Rattus norvegicus: one gene and its partners. The protein of the gene in region 1 interacts with the protein of each later gene in a pairwise test. Links are inferred from orthologs where the notes say so. Each region holds a gene or a part of one and is shown in the gene's direction. Other genes may lie near its edges. The genes, in order: Rnf185, Ube2k and Yipf2.

Evidence for each region.
Region 2: the proteins of Rnf185 (region 1) and Ube2k interact in binary tests that used the Homo sapiens proteins (3 or more experiments, as listed by UniProt). The link is inferred for Rattus norvegicus from reciprocal best matches to the Homo sapiens genes RNF185 and UBE2K.
Region 3: the proteins of Rnf185 (region 1) and Yipf2 interact in binary tests that used the Homo sapiens proteins (3 or more experiments, as listed by UniProt). The two-hybrid records come from large-scale screens. The link is inferred for Rattus norvegicus from reciprocal best matches to the Homo sapiens genes RNF185 and YIPF2.

Annotation. Positions count from the first base shown.
Region 1 is NC_086032.1:82,525,939-82,529,474, reverse strand, and holds part of Rnf185 (E3 ubiquitin-protein ligase RNF185), read left to right. Parts: intron 1-959; coding exon 960-978; intron 979-3,155; coding exon 3,156-3,268; intron 3,269-3,536. UniProt on the Homo sapiens protein: E3 ubiquitin-protein ligase that regulates selective mitochondrial autophagy by mediating 'Lys-63'-linked polyubiquitination of BNIP1.
Region 2 is NC_086032.1:43,069,371-43,073,706, reverse strand, and holds the start of Ube2k (ubiquitin-conjugating enzyme E2 K), read left to right. Parts: upstream 1-1,536; 5' UTR 1,537-1,704; coding exon 1,705-1,767; intron 1,768-4,336. UniProt on the Homo sapiens protein: Accepts ubiquitin from the E1 complex and catalyzes its covalent attachment to other proteins. In vitro, in the presence or in the absence of BRCA1-BARD1 E3 ubiquitin-protein ligase complex, catalyzes the synthesis of 'Lys-48'-linked polyubiquitin chains.
Region 3 is NC_086026.1:28,418,620-28,422,789, reverse strand, and holds the start of Yipf2 (protein YIPF2), read left to right. Parts: upstream 1-1,334; 5' UTR 1,335-1,415; exon of another isoform or gene 1,416-1,420; intron 1,421-1,556; 5' UTR 1,557-1,586; coding exon 1,587-1,617; intron 1,618-1,908; coding exon 1,909-2,063; intron 2,064-2,146; coding exon 2,147-2,227; intron 2,228-2,659; coding exon 2,660-2,747; intron 2,748-3,732; coding exon 3,733-3,849; intron 3,850-3,927; coding exon 3,928-4,094; intron 4,095-4,170. Other genes in the region: Timm29 (mitochondrial import inner membrane translocase subunit Tim29), read right to left, coding at 303-991, 1,071-1,185.

The DNA of each region.
Region 1 (3,536 bases):
AAGCGCAAGGCCCTGGGTTCGGTCCCCAGCTCCGAAAAAAAGAACCAAAAAAATAAATAAATAAATAAATAAACAAATAAACTTAATGTCCTGAAGTCTGAGGCAGTGGACCAGGAGTCTGAAGCTAGTTTGGGCTATATGGTGAAACCCTGTATTTACATAAATATTTTAATTTAAAAAGAGAAAAAAAGGAAGAAATGTTGGCAGCAGCTCTGTAAGATAGAGGTAACCTTTCCTGAGTAGCCTCTCCATCTTTCCCATTACAAAGAAGTTTTGAGTAGGGCTAGTCTTTCAAGCCACTTCCTGCTAGAAGAGCAGTTTGTTAAATTGGATCTGAAATAATAGGAAACCTATATGTCACGTGTGAGCCAGAGAAGGCCGTGACCCACCTGATGCAGTGCATGTTGTGCGCATATGTATGTGTGTGTGCTTTTGTGCTGTCACATGTTACATGGCAGTGCTGACTTTTCTTACAGAGAATACTTGACTTAGAAACCTTCAGAGACTATAATATCTGAAGGACTAACCTATGATAAATTGTGCTTGGTTGGTTTGGTTTTGGGGGGAAGGGTTCCTTTAAAGTGGGGTTCTGGCTGGAGAATGGAATCGTGTCTCTACTCTCTTCGTTCTCCTGCAGGTTTAGCTTTTTCTTGTCTATGTTGTTCTTTAATTTTGTTGTTGTTTCAAGACAGGGTCTTCTAGAGCCTAGACTGTAAACTCCATTTCACTGTGTAGTTGAGGATGACCTTGAACTCCCTCCCGAGTGCTGGATGCCAGATGTGTGCCTCCATACCTTTTCCTATATGTGATGCCAGTAATTCATGGGAAGCCTCCCTGTACTCCAGTTATCCCCTTTTGATGTCCCTTCTCTACTCGTGGAGTGTCTCTGCTAATGAAAGCATTTTTCTCCTTCTTCCTGCTTTCCTTCCTGATGATTGGCCGCCCTGGGGACTCTGTAGTTGGCCGTGTTTACATCAGGTAAGATGTACTTCATTTTACTTTGTCTTTCATCAGCTAGAGTTGCACAAGACAGCCCTGGTCTCAGGGGACTGCTGTCAGAAGCTGCAATCTCCCTCGCTTCTGCGCTCAGTTGCCCTTTTTATGCACCTGTCTGCTGACCGGTATTTGATGTAATAAGGAGGTCTTTCCATATCTGAATTAGTCCTGGGTCTGCCAATAATAGCCATATAGGCTTGTGGCCACCACTTGCCTGTGTCCCAATGACTCGTTTGCACATGGGTGGACTTGATAGTGTTAGCTCCCTTTTTTTGTTGTTTGTTTGTTTGTTTCAAGACAAGATCAAATGTACCCCAAGTATATCCCACACTCACTATGTAGTTAAGGATGCTGCCTCAGAGTGCTGGGGCTGTAGATGTGCATCCCAATGCCGACTTCGTGTAATGCTGGGAACCCAGGATGTCTTGCTTGCTAAACAATTGATCTGCTAAGTCACATCCTCACCTATTAGATCATTTTTTGTTTCCGAGCTCTTACATTTATAAAAAGATAACTTCTGGGCTGGAGTGCTTACTGCTCTTGCAAAGGGGCCAATTTCAGTGCCTAGCACCTGTAACTCTAGCTCCAGGGGCTCCAACACTTGTGGGAGTACACACACACACACACACACACACACACACACACACACACCAAGATAAAATTAAATCTTGAAGAAATAAAAAGGTAGCTCCTTTCTTATCAGTGCACCTCTGTCCTGAAAGGTCTTAGATTGTTGAGAAGACAGTAAGCCTTTTTTGCTGTGAATTGGATAGCTTTTGCAGAGGAGGAAAGCCTTGTTTTAATGTATTATGAAAACTAGTCAGTGTTCACTAAGAACTGAGCCCGGCATTGGCAACTGGAACAGGTGAACAGTCATAGCCAGATGGCCATTTCCACGGGCGTCAGAGTGCAGCGTCACACTCCTAGGTGGCTTAGAGGGTGTGGGGAGGGCAGGGAGTAGACTGCTGTTTCCTCATAGGGGAAGAAGGAACTAGGGATGAGCAGTCTGACTCACATGAACTTGAGAATAGATTTGCTAGAACATATCAGTGTGAGCGTTAGGAGATCGTGTGACTTAGGTTTTAGAGCTGTTGGCAGGTAGGGAGTGTAGGATGTAAAGTCATGAAATGCTGCTATTTCTGTCTGTCTGAAGTCGTTGACTCACGCTCATTTAATAAACTTTTTAATCTTCATAGCTAGAGATGCAGTTTACATCCAAAAATATATTGGGTGCTGGGCATAATTCATCCACAGTGTGTGTACTGACGATGTGCAAGGCTCTGAGTTTACTCCCTAGTACTGAAAATAAATAAAGGCTGAGAAAATATACATAAGACACCCCTAGTGCCCAGAAAGAGGTCACAGGTTAGGCATGGCAACATACTTCTGTAATCCTTGTACTGAGGGAGCAAAGGACGTGAGGATTAAGGATAGTTCAGCGACATCTTCAGATACATGAGACTCTGCTTCAAAAAGAAAAAAGAAATACACATGTAACACTTTAGATAACGAGCAAACTCTATCCCTTAACACAGTACAAGGTGACCAAAAAATGATTAATGCAGCCAAGTGCTGATGTCAGGTTATACCATTTTTGGGGGAAATGCTGTAAAAATGAGAAGTTGGGAATGGAGGGACAGCTCAGCAGTTAAGAACACGTACTGCTCTTCGAAGGGACCCAAGTTCAGTTCCCAGTACCCATATTCACAGCTTCCTGTAACTCCAGCTCTAGCTTCCTCTTCAGGCCTCCGAGGGCACATACATTTGTTTGCATATACCCTCGCCCTCTACTGACATATACATAATTAAAAACTAGATATGTTTTTAAGAAAACTGAGAAATCACAGAAAGAAAACTGAGGTAATGGGTAATTTGATTGATCCTGAAAGTAAGGTTCCGCTCACACCAGGAGCCTGCCAGGAGCCTCGGGCTTGCAGCTCCTCTGCCTGTCCCCGGAGAGTAACTGAGAGAGAAACTTGTTTAATTACTGTTATTTAAAGGCAATTTTGATTTTATCCCCAGTAAATATTTTTCAATGCTAGAAACAGAAATTAGATTATGGTTCCTAAATGTTCCCACCTCAGGCTACTTCTGCTGGTGTTTCCCACGGTAAGGACAGGGCAGCTTTGGTTCATTCTTGTGTTTTCTCTCACTCACAGTGGTTGGAGACTAGACCTAACAGACAAGTATGTCCAGTTTGCAAAGCGGGAATCAGCCGGGACAAGGTCATCCCACTCTATGGCAGAGGCAGCACTGGACAGCAGGATCCCAGGTAAAGACTTGGTCTGATAGCATGTCCCACTCGGATGGAATGTTGTTTGCTTCTTCTTAGCACTCTAACCCTACCTTTAGTTTGGTGTTTGTTGATGGCTGCTTGGTTTTGAGGCATTTTGACAGACGTGAGAGTCACCTGGGAAGGGTGAGGCCTGAAAGTAGAGGAGCCAGGCTTACCACTTGCTGCTGGCCCGTGTTCAGTAGGCGCTCAGTGTCATCTGCCAGCAAGCAAAAGCCGTGCCGTGTTGGGAAAGCACTTTCCACAG
Region 2 (4,336 bases), about 39 Mb from region 1:
GTGGGATAGAAAGTGTTTTAGGTTGTATTGGCATAGATACCTACAACATTTCTAGATTTATATCATAGCAAAAATCCTTTGTAGTGTTCAGTTGTTCAGTATATAGTTGACGGTCCTTATAACCACTAGAGGGCTCTGCTATAAGATCTTTTATAATTTATGTCTGTCTACTCAGGGAAAGGCTTTGAGATGTTTCAGAATTTTGAACTCTTAAGTTTAAACAACCTCCTCATTTCACAGACGAGGGAACCGCAGCTGGCAACGGATATAGGAGAGAAGTGGGAGCACTCTTAGACTGGTTTCTCTCGAACTCATGATCCTCCTGCTTCTGTCTCCCAATCTAGGATTACAAGCCTATACCACTACATTCAGCTCGTATTAGTCTTATGATGGAATACTGAACTGATTGATTAGGTGAATACATGAAACATACTCCTAAAATAATACCTTCATTATTTCACAATGTTATTTTCAAAAGTATTCCTCAGCATCTACATTCCGTTATTTGTTTTAAACTCTACTAACCACTTTCAAATAGCCTCTCAACGTTGTTGCTCAATTAAAACATTTTACTCGGTCATCTTTTCTCCACTCAATTATATTCACTCACTGCTTATTGACATCTACGAGCGCCAAAAACCTTTGTAGGTCTAAAGTTCTTTCGGCCTTCTATTTCTCCAACTGTCACTATAAATTATACAGACTTTCACATGCTTAATTCAGCCATTCTCACAGCGTGGTCGCTGAAAAACAGGCAGCAGGGAGTTTGCTCGCAATGCAAATTCTTAGCCCCATCCAGACTCTAGGGATAGGTCCTAGTAATCTAACCAGCTCTCCAGGGATTCCGAGGTGCGTTCAAGTTTGAAAAACATGTTAGTTCTACAGCTCAGCATTGACTATCTAAACAGGTCAAAGATTTAACTTCTGGCTTTTAAACTCATCACAGGCCTGTCCCCGGCAACACCTGTATCAATTACAACCCGTGGGACGCAACCATTACACAACCTTAAAAATCTGTAATACCTGAGATGACCGAATAATAGTTGCGTTATCATGGTTCCAGAACAAAAGCTACGGCAGTGGATATCCCGGGGGTTTACCAACGGACGCTGGGCAGGACCCAGTTCCTGCATAGTTTTTTCCTCCGCTAGACACAGGGAGGCACCTCTAGCCCGTGGGTTCTGGGTCTGGCCGAGTTAGAGCGAGGCTCAGCCCGGCTGGGGCCCCGGGAACCCGCCAGGCGGGGCTCCCACCTCGGGTCCGTGGCTAGGGACTGGAGGCCTCACCGTAAAGGGGGCCGAGGGGCAGGGGAGGACCCCGCAGGCCCAAACCCCGCGGACCGGCACAGAAACCGCACCCTCCTGGCCCCAGCCGCCGGCAGGGCGGAGCCACGCGGCCGAAGCCCCGGCTGAGACGCGCGGCGCGGGCTCGCTGCTGAGACGTATGGGGCTACCACTGGAGCGGCTGCGCCGCCCGCCCGGGTCAGCGTGGTGCGCATGCGCGGACCCGGCGCCATTTTGGTGGCCGGGCGCGGAGGTGATTCTACACTGAGGGGGAACGCGACGGCAAGGGTGGCAGTGGCAGCGTTCGTGTGCTCGGGTCTGAATCACTGAGGGAGGAGGCGGTGGAGGAAGAGGTGGCAGCGGTGGCGGTGGTCGTAGCGGTGGCGGAGGAGGCGGGTACGAATCAGCTGCGGGCAGAGACATGGCCAACATCGCGGTGCAGCGAATCAAGCGGGAGTTCAAGGAGGTGCTGAAGAGCGAGGAGGTCAGGAATGAGCTACCGGACACCCCCATCTCAGCCCAGGGCGGCAGGGCCCTTCCTTCCGCGACCCCGGCGGTCCCAGCCGGCCTCGCTGCGGCCGCCTTTCTGCCTATGGGGAAGCGGCGGTCTCCCCTCCTCCTCCCGCCGCCTTTCCCTCCCCTCCCCGGGCCCTGGGATAGGCGGTCTCGCGGGCGGCCGGCCGGCCTGGGGAGGAACAGGGTTTGGGGGGCAGATGCCGAAGCACTCGTCCCGGGCACGTGAGCTCTAGAGAGAGCCCCGAGGCGGCGGCAACAACATCTGGAAGTGTGACTGTACGGTGGGGAAGGAACAGGCCGAGAAAACCCGGGAAGTGGGTTGGGGGAAGGGGAAAGGTAGTAACTAGATCCCCGGCAGCAGCGCACCTCACAGGCCCACGCTTTCAGGGGTACTGGGGATATTGCCTGCCAGGCCTTTGCTGTCTTTTCCTTGGGGAAGGAGCCTTCACAGTCTTTAGGTATAGACGAGAAGACTTTCAGTTGCTCCCTTACGGTACAGTGCTGGGGGATCTATGGAGACATAATGGGCATTCTTGAATTGGGAAGGGGTGTTGAAACAATTTTCACTATAGATAAAAAAATAATTCCAAATTAGATAGTCATCTCTTTTCTACGTACCCAGCCAGTAAGTAACTAGGCCTCCTCACTGATATTTAAAGCTTTTTGTCTAGTCAAAGGCAAGTTGTTTGTTAATTAAATGATTTGAAATAGGAAGAATAATGGGAGTGTGTGAGTAGCTTATTTCAAAATACTGTTCACCCGTATCAGAGAGGCTCTCCTAGGGTAATGCCTCTGTGACTAGTGTTGTACTGTGAAACTTCATTATGATGTCCCTCATAGTTAACTTGAGTCTTACTTTTAAAAAGAGGCCTATTAAAACCAAGGGATTTCATCAGATACACATTGTTGTAGCTCATTATTGAGTTAGGTTTATTTTTCTGTCACAAAATATATCAGGAAATAGCATATTTAAAAAATAAAACTCTGACTGCCTGTAAGTCCTGCAAATTTTAAGCATATTAATGCTTACCAGATTTATTTATGTGAAATATTGAAAGTAATAATTTTACTCTGCTATAAAAGTGCTAAATCGACAAAAATGCCAGTTTTTCTATGATTGAACTTAACAATTCTGAAAGTAATTATTTTTTTCAAGGTTCACAGTTTTCCTATTATGCTTGCTTGGTACTCTGATAATGTCATTAATGATTTTTAAAATTCGTCATTTTAAGCATATGAGAAATTGTTAGAAATCTTGTAGCTCTCCAGCTTTATTGTGCCCCCAAGCTTGCAGACAATTATCCATCGTTCCAAGTAGACATGAAGAAAGTCACTTAAAATTGAAGTGACAATGTTAGCAGCGTTAGTGAGCATACTAAGAAATACGTAGGGATCTGTCTTACGTAGCATGAACTCTGACCTCTGTATTCATTTGCCAAAACTCTGAATGGAAGGATGACTTTGTATTTTTGTGAAACAATGCAGAAACAATATGAATGACAGTATTCACATTTTTAATGGTGATTTATTTAAACTTTTTCTTTAATAAGCAAACTTAGTTTGGGGTCGTTGTATATTCTTATGTTGTTAACAACCTACAACATGTATTCTATAATAAGGTTGTATGGGTCTTTAGACCTCTCATGCTTTCTTTTATCTAAAAGTGTCAAGTTACTGCCCTGAAAATTGATATACCCTCTTTGCTTTGTGTGGTCTGACTTTTCACCATGGCATTTGGTGTTTAAGTTGAAGATTATCGGCATTTGTATGACTCTAGTAGTACATATTATTACTATTCTACTATTTAACTGATGGGCTGAGTGGCCAGCTCCATTTACTGTTCTACTATTTAATTGATGGCTGAGGAGCCTGATGACCGAGTTCAGATTCAGACCCACATGCTAGAAGGTTTCTCTTTGACCTCTACACCCAAGTGTGCAAATCGGATAAAAGCTCCTCCTCTGGTTAAAAACATTGTCAATGGTTCTCAGGAAGGAAATAGGAAATATGAGTTCAAGAATGGTGCCTTAAAAACCTAGCAGGGAATTCAGTTCAAGGAAGTAAGTTGCAAAGAATATTTTGGAAAAGATCAGATAAAATTTAATATTGTAAAAAACCACAGCCAACAGTTAGCTTTATCCTCACCAGTATTTTATTTCATTTCCCTAGATAGGTTGTGTTGATTTCACCTGAGTGAAGAACCCATAGTGCAGTCTACATATTTCCCTTTTAAGTGCGTAAATATGAGCTTTTTTTTTTTTTTTTTCGGAGCTGGGGACCGAACCCAGGGCCTTGCGCTCGCTAGGCAAGCGCTCTACCGCTGAGCTAAATCCCCAACCCTAAATATGAGCTTTTGAGTAGTTGGTCAAGTCATTAATTCACCGTGTCATACAGGTTTAATTCATTTGGTAGTGTTTTGGTGGGTCTTACAACTTGATTTCCTTTTTGCCTGTTTTAAGTGCCTTTGTAAAGATAACTGACCTGTCAGAGCACACTTTGATCCCAGCACGGGAGAAGCAGAGGCAGGCAGATCTCTG
Region 3 (4,170 bases), on another chromosome or scaffold:
CTAGGCAAATGCTCTACCCTTGAAGTCCATCCCCAGCAACAACAGGCTACACAGCAAAGGTTCCTTATTAGTAGATCTTGCAGCGGTAAGCACAAGGTCAAATGCTTCATGTTCGAAAGCAGTCTTTCAGCTCTTCTGTATCTCTAAGACCAGTAAGGCTCCCAATTAGCTTCGGCAAACAGGACAGACAGAGCTAGAACGTCCCACAAAATCACAACGAGGGTCATTTATCTCTACCCATCTCACCAACTGCACCATCTGTGGCCAACAGTTTGCCTGCGCCTGGGGGCACCCTTCGTTTTTCACCTGGAAACATCGGACTGAACTAGTGAATTAGCCTCGCTCAAAGCTAGCCGATCCTTTTTCTCCTTCTGTAACACCTGCTCCTCCCACAGCGCCTGGTCCACCTGATCGACGGTGAGTATGATCGGCTTGTATTTCTCTTCGAACAGCCTCTCATTGGCCTCTGAGTGCAGCTGGTGAGGCCCGACGACGCGCAGGTGCGCAGGCAGGTGGAGAAACTCGTCGTCGTTGATGTCGCAATCATGCATGCGGTTCTTCAGGACCCACCAGCGGCCTACGAACCCCACGTCGAGGACCCGACCGGGGAAGTCGACCCAGCGTGGCTGCAGGTAGCGGCAGCGGGCCTGGTAGAGGCTGGCCTGGGCGTCGAAGGGCGCTTCGTAAACCAACGAGCAGAACCCCAGGTTCACGTGACGCAGCCGCCCGCGGCCCCTCAGCCACAGCAGGCGCTGCAAGAACTCTTCCGAGTGGCGGTTGCGCGTGGCCGGCGCCAACAGCAAGAGAGAACTTGATGCGTCAAGCAAGGCCTCCTCGAATGCCGCCTCACTGGGCGCCAGCGCACAGCACGCAGCAGCGCCGCCAAGCAGCCCCACGTACAGGGCCGCGCGGCCGGGTCGAGCTCGCGCAGCAGCCGCCGCGTCTCCGCACGCCTCGGCGTAATCCCGAAGCAGCGCGCGGGACCAGGTGCCTGAGGGGAAAGAAGCGCTGCAGTGACAATGATTCAGCCACTTGGGCCACCCACCCTGCAGCCTTCTGCCACTACTCACCCAGTCGCGTCCACAACCCTGGCTTAACCGCCACTGTCGTGGTACCACTTGCCTCTCCTCCCGCTTCACTGCGTCCACGGGACCAGAATCTCTTCAGAGCTGCTGTCATCATCATTTTCCGGCGGTTCCTCAGTCGAGGGGAAACACATAGTGCCGGAATGAAAAGGGCTGGAGAGTAGATCCTGCGCAAGCGCAAGATACAGGAAGTAGTTTCCCACTGGAAGACAATAGGAAACGGACTAGTGCCGGATGTTGCCGTTGCGTCGAGAAGGGTGGGCTCTGACGGGTAGGCGAGCGGCGCGCACGCGCACGGAGCAAGAGCCACGCCAGCTTAGGTAGCTTCAGGTGAGGAAGGTGGGGTGCTTCTGCAGGGCCCTAGCTTGGAGCTGAAGCTTCATTACTCCGTGTGTTAGGCTCCATGCAGGAGTCCAGACGGAAGCATTAGTCTTGGGGAGGGCTGTGGGACTGATGCGGTTCTGTCCACAGAGTGTGATGCAGTGACGCCTCCAAAGAACCATGGCAGCAGCCGACGATCTGGCCTTCCACGGTGAGTGGAGCCCGGAAGTGGTCAGAGCTCCTAGCCCTGTCCTAGGCTAGAACCCTAAGCAGTTGGGTCCCAGACCTCAGGTTCATCCTGCACTCAATTCCCGCTCCTTCCATGAACTCAAAAGGCAAATCACCGCCTCCAACTCTGCACAGGACCTAAATTGAACACCATCTTAGTAGACGAGCAGATCTACAGTCCATCAAAACCGAACCCAGCCCTTAGGGGAGGGTGGTGAGGCAGTCACAGCCCTTTCAGACTCCAAACACCTGTGCCCATATTCCCTCTCCGTAGAGTTCGAGGAAGCTGCAAATCTTCTGGCAGAAACCCCAGATGCAGCAACCACGAGCCAAAGTGATAAGCTGACCTCACAAGAGCATGTGGCTGTGGTTGTGGGTTCAGGCATTGGCTATGGAGCCGAAGGAGAGGAAGAGGATGACAAAACATCAGTGAGTCTCCTAGGCCCCGATATACTCTGCCTCTGTCCTTACTCTGACTAAGCAGGCAGGTTCTGAAAGCCTTTGTCTTATAGCTTCTACAGGATGAAAAGCCACAGCCAAGATTCTGGACGTTTGACTACTATCAGAGCTTTTTTGATGTAGACACCTCCCAGGTGAGGCCTTGGACATTGGTGGTGACGACTTGGAGTTTCTTGGGGTTCAGCCACTATTCTTGGGGACTGAATTTGGATGGGATGGGTATAGTGGGACTGGAAAGCAAAAACTAGGTTACAAAGTAGATGTGGATGGTATGTGTCTTAAAGGCAGTATGTTTCCCAGTCAGACCAACCTCTAATAATAAACCAGGTCCTCTGAGAGGGTACATCCTGGAAATTAGGAGGGAGACCATCTAGAACAGGGAGACTGTCCTTACTTTGTCTGGGAGGAGAGGCTGCAGGAAGCTGAGAGCAAGGTGGCAGGCCTGAAATCCACCTTCACAGTGGGTGACGTGTTCCAGCTTGTTCAGGTAGGATGTGCTGGCAAGACAGTGGATGCCTCTCAGAATGCAGGGGTTCTCATTTTGGACCCTTGGTTTTGTTCTCTAGGTCTTGGACAGGATCAAAGGTTCCCTGCTGCCCCATCCTGGCCACAACTTTGTGCGTCACCATCTTAGAAATCGTCCTGACTTATATGGTAAGTGGGTCTATGTTTGAATCAATGGAGTATTATTCAACATGGGACTGTGCCTGGTCCTGAACAGGGCAGTCATGCACAAAGAGCAGACTTGTGTTTAGTTGAGGGAGACACCAAGAAGGGAAGCAGAAGGTGGTAGGTCTGGCTAACTCAGAGGGTGAGTGGCATTGCTGTCTGGTATAGGGAAGTCAGCAAGGTCCCTGAGTAGGGTCGGCAAATGAGTTATGCTGGCATTGGTGGTGAGAGGCTTAGAAGAGGACCCAGAAAGCTTCTAGGTCCCATGGTGGAAACAAGTGAGTTGCGCATAGTGGCATAGGTCATTGCAGTGGAAGAAGCTGGGAAGTCATGAGTAGGGGATGAGTACATGAGTCCCATATAGTGGTGGGAAGGGATCTTACTGAAGGATTTCAGGATCTCCTCTGGCATTGGAAAGCCAACAAGAGCAGGCAGGGCACAGACATTACATTGGAGGCTGTGAGGAAGAGTGGTTGTTGGTCCTAGAGTATGCCCACAACCTAGAGGACTGAGAAAGGCTGGAGTAGCTTTCTACCCAGTTAACCAACACAGTTGCCATGGGTGGACAGGAAAAGCTGGACAGGTACGAGGAGCAGATCAAGTGTCTAGAGGCCCAGGTCATATGTATGAATTTTCAAAAAATAAGCATGTAAACCCAGGGCCCTGGGGCAGTTTGGGAGTGACACATAAAGATGGAATGCATGAAGCCTCTGGACAAGATCCTGCCCACAGTGGAGAACCACCAAGCCTCTTCTACCTATCTACAGACAGTTTTGTCAGAGAAAAGAGCTAAGTGCTTGAGGCATTTTAGAAGGTATTTCCAGAAAGAGAGGATCAGCCCAGCTGCAGCACTTGTGAGCAGTGACTTAGAGAGTCAAATGGAGTCTGGGGTCTTAGCAGAACACTTATGTAGGACATAGACACCTTTCCCAGGAAGAATGTGCCTGGGACTCCATTTCCCCCTTTGCAGGCCCCTTCTGGATTTGTGCCACCCTGGCCTTCGTCCTGGCGGTTACTGGCAATCTCACTTTGGTGCTTGCACAGAGACGGGACCCCTCCATTCACTATAGCCCCCAGTTCCACAAGGGTAAGCAGAGCGGGTGGGCTCAGCTCTTGGATGCCAGGGTCCAAGGGCATGCAGTGACTGCCCACATTGCATCTCTAGTGACTATAGCAGGCATAACCATCTACTGCTATGCGTGGCTAGTGCCGCTGGCACTGTGGGGCTTTCTCCGGTGGCGCCAGGGCACGAGGGAACGCATGGGGCTGTACACCTTCCTGGAGACTGTGTGTGTCTACGGCTACTCACTCTTTGTCTTCATCCCAACTGTGGTGAGTATGGCTTGGCTCTGGGAAATGCTAGGAGCTACGTGGACCACCAGTGTGGTCATCAGCTGTATTTGTCACA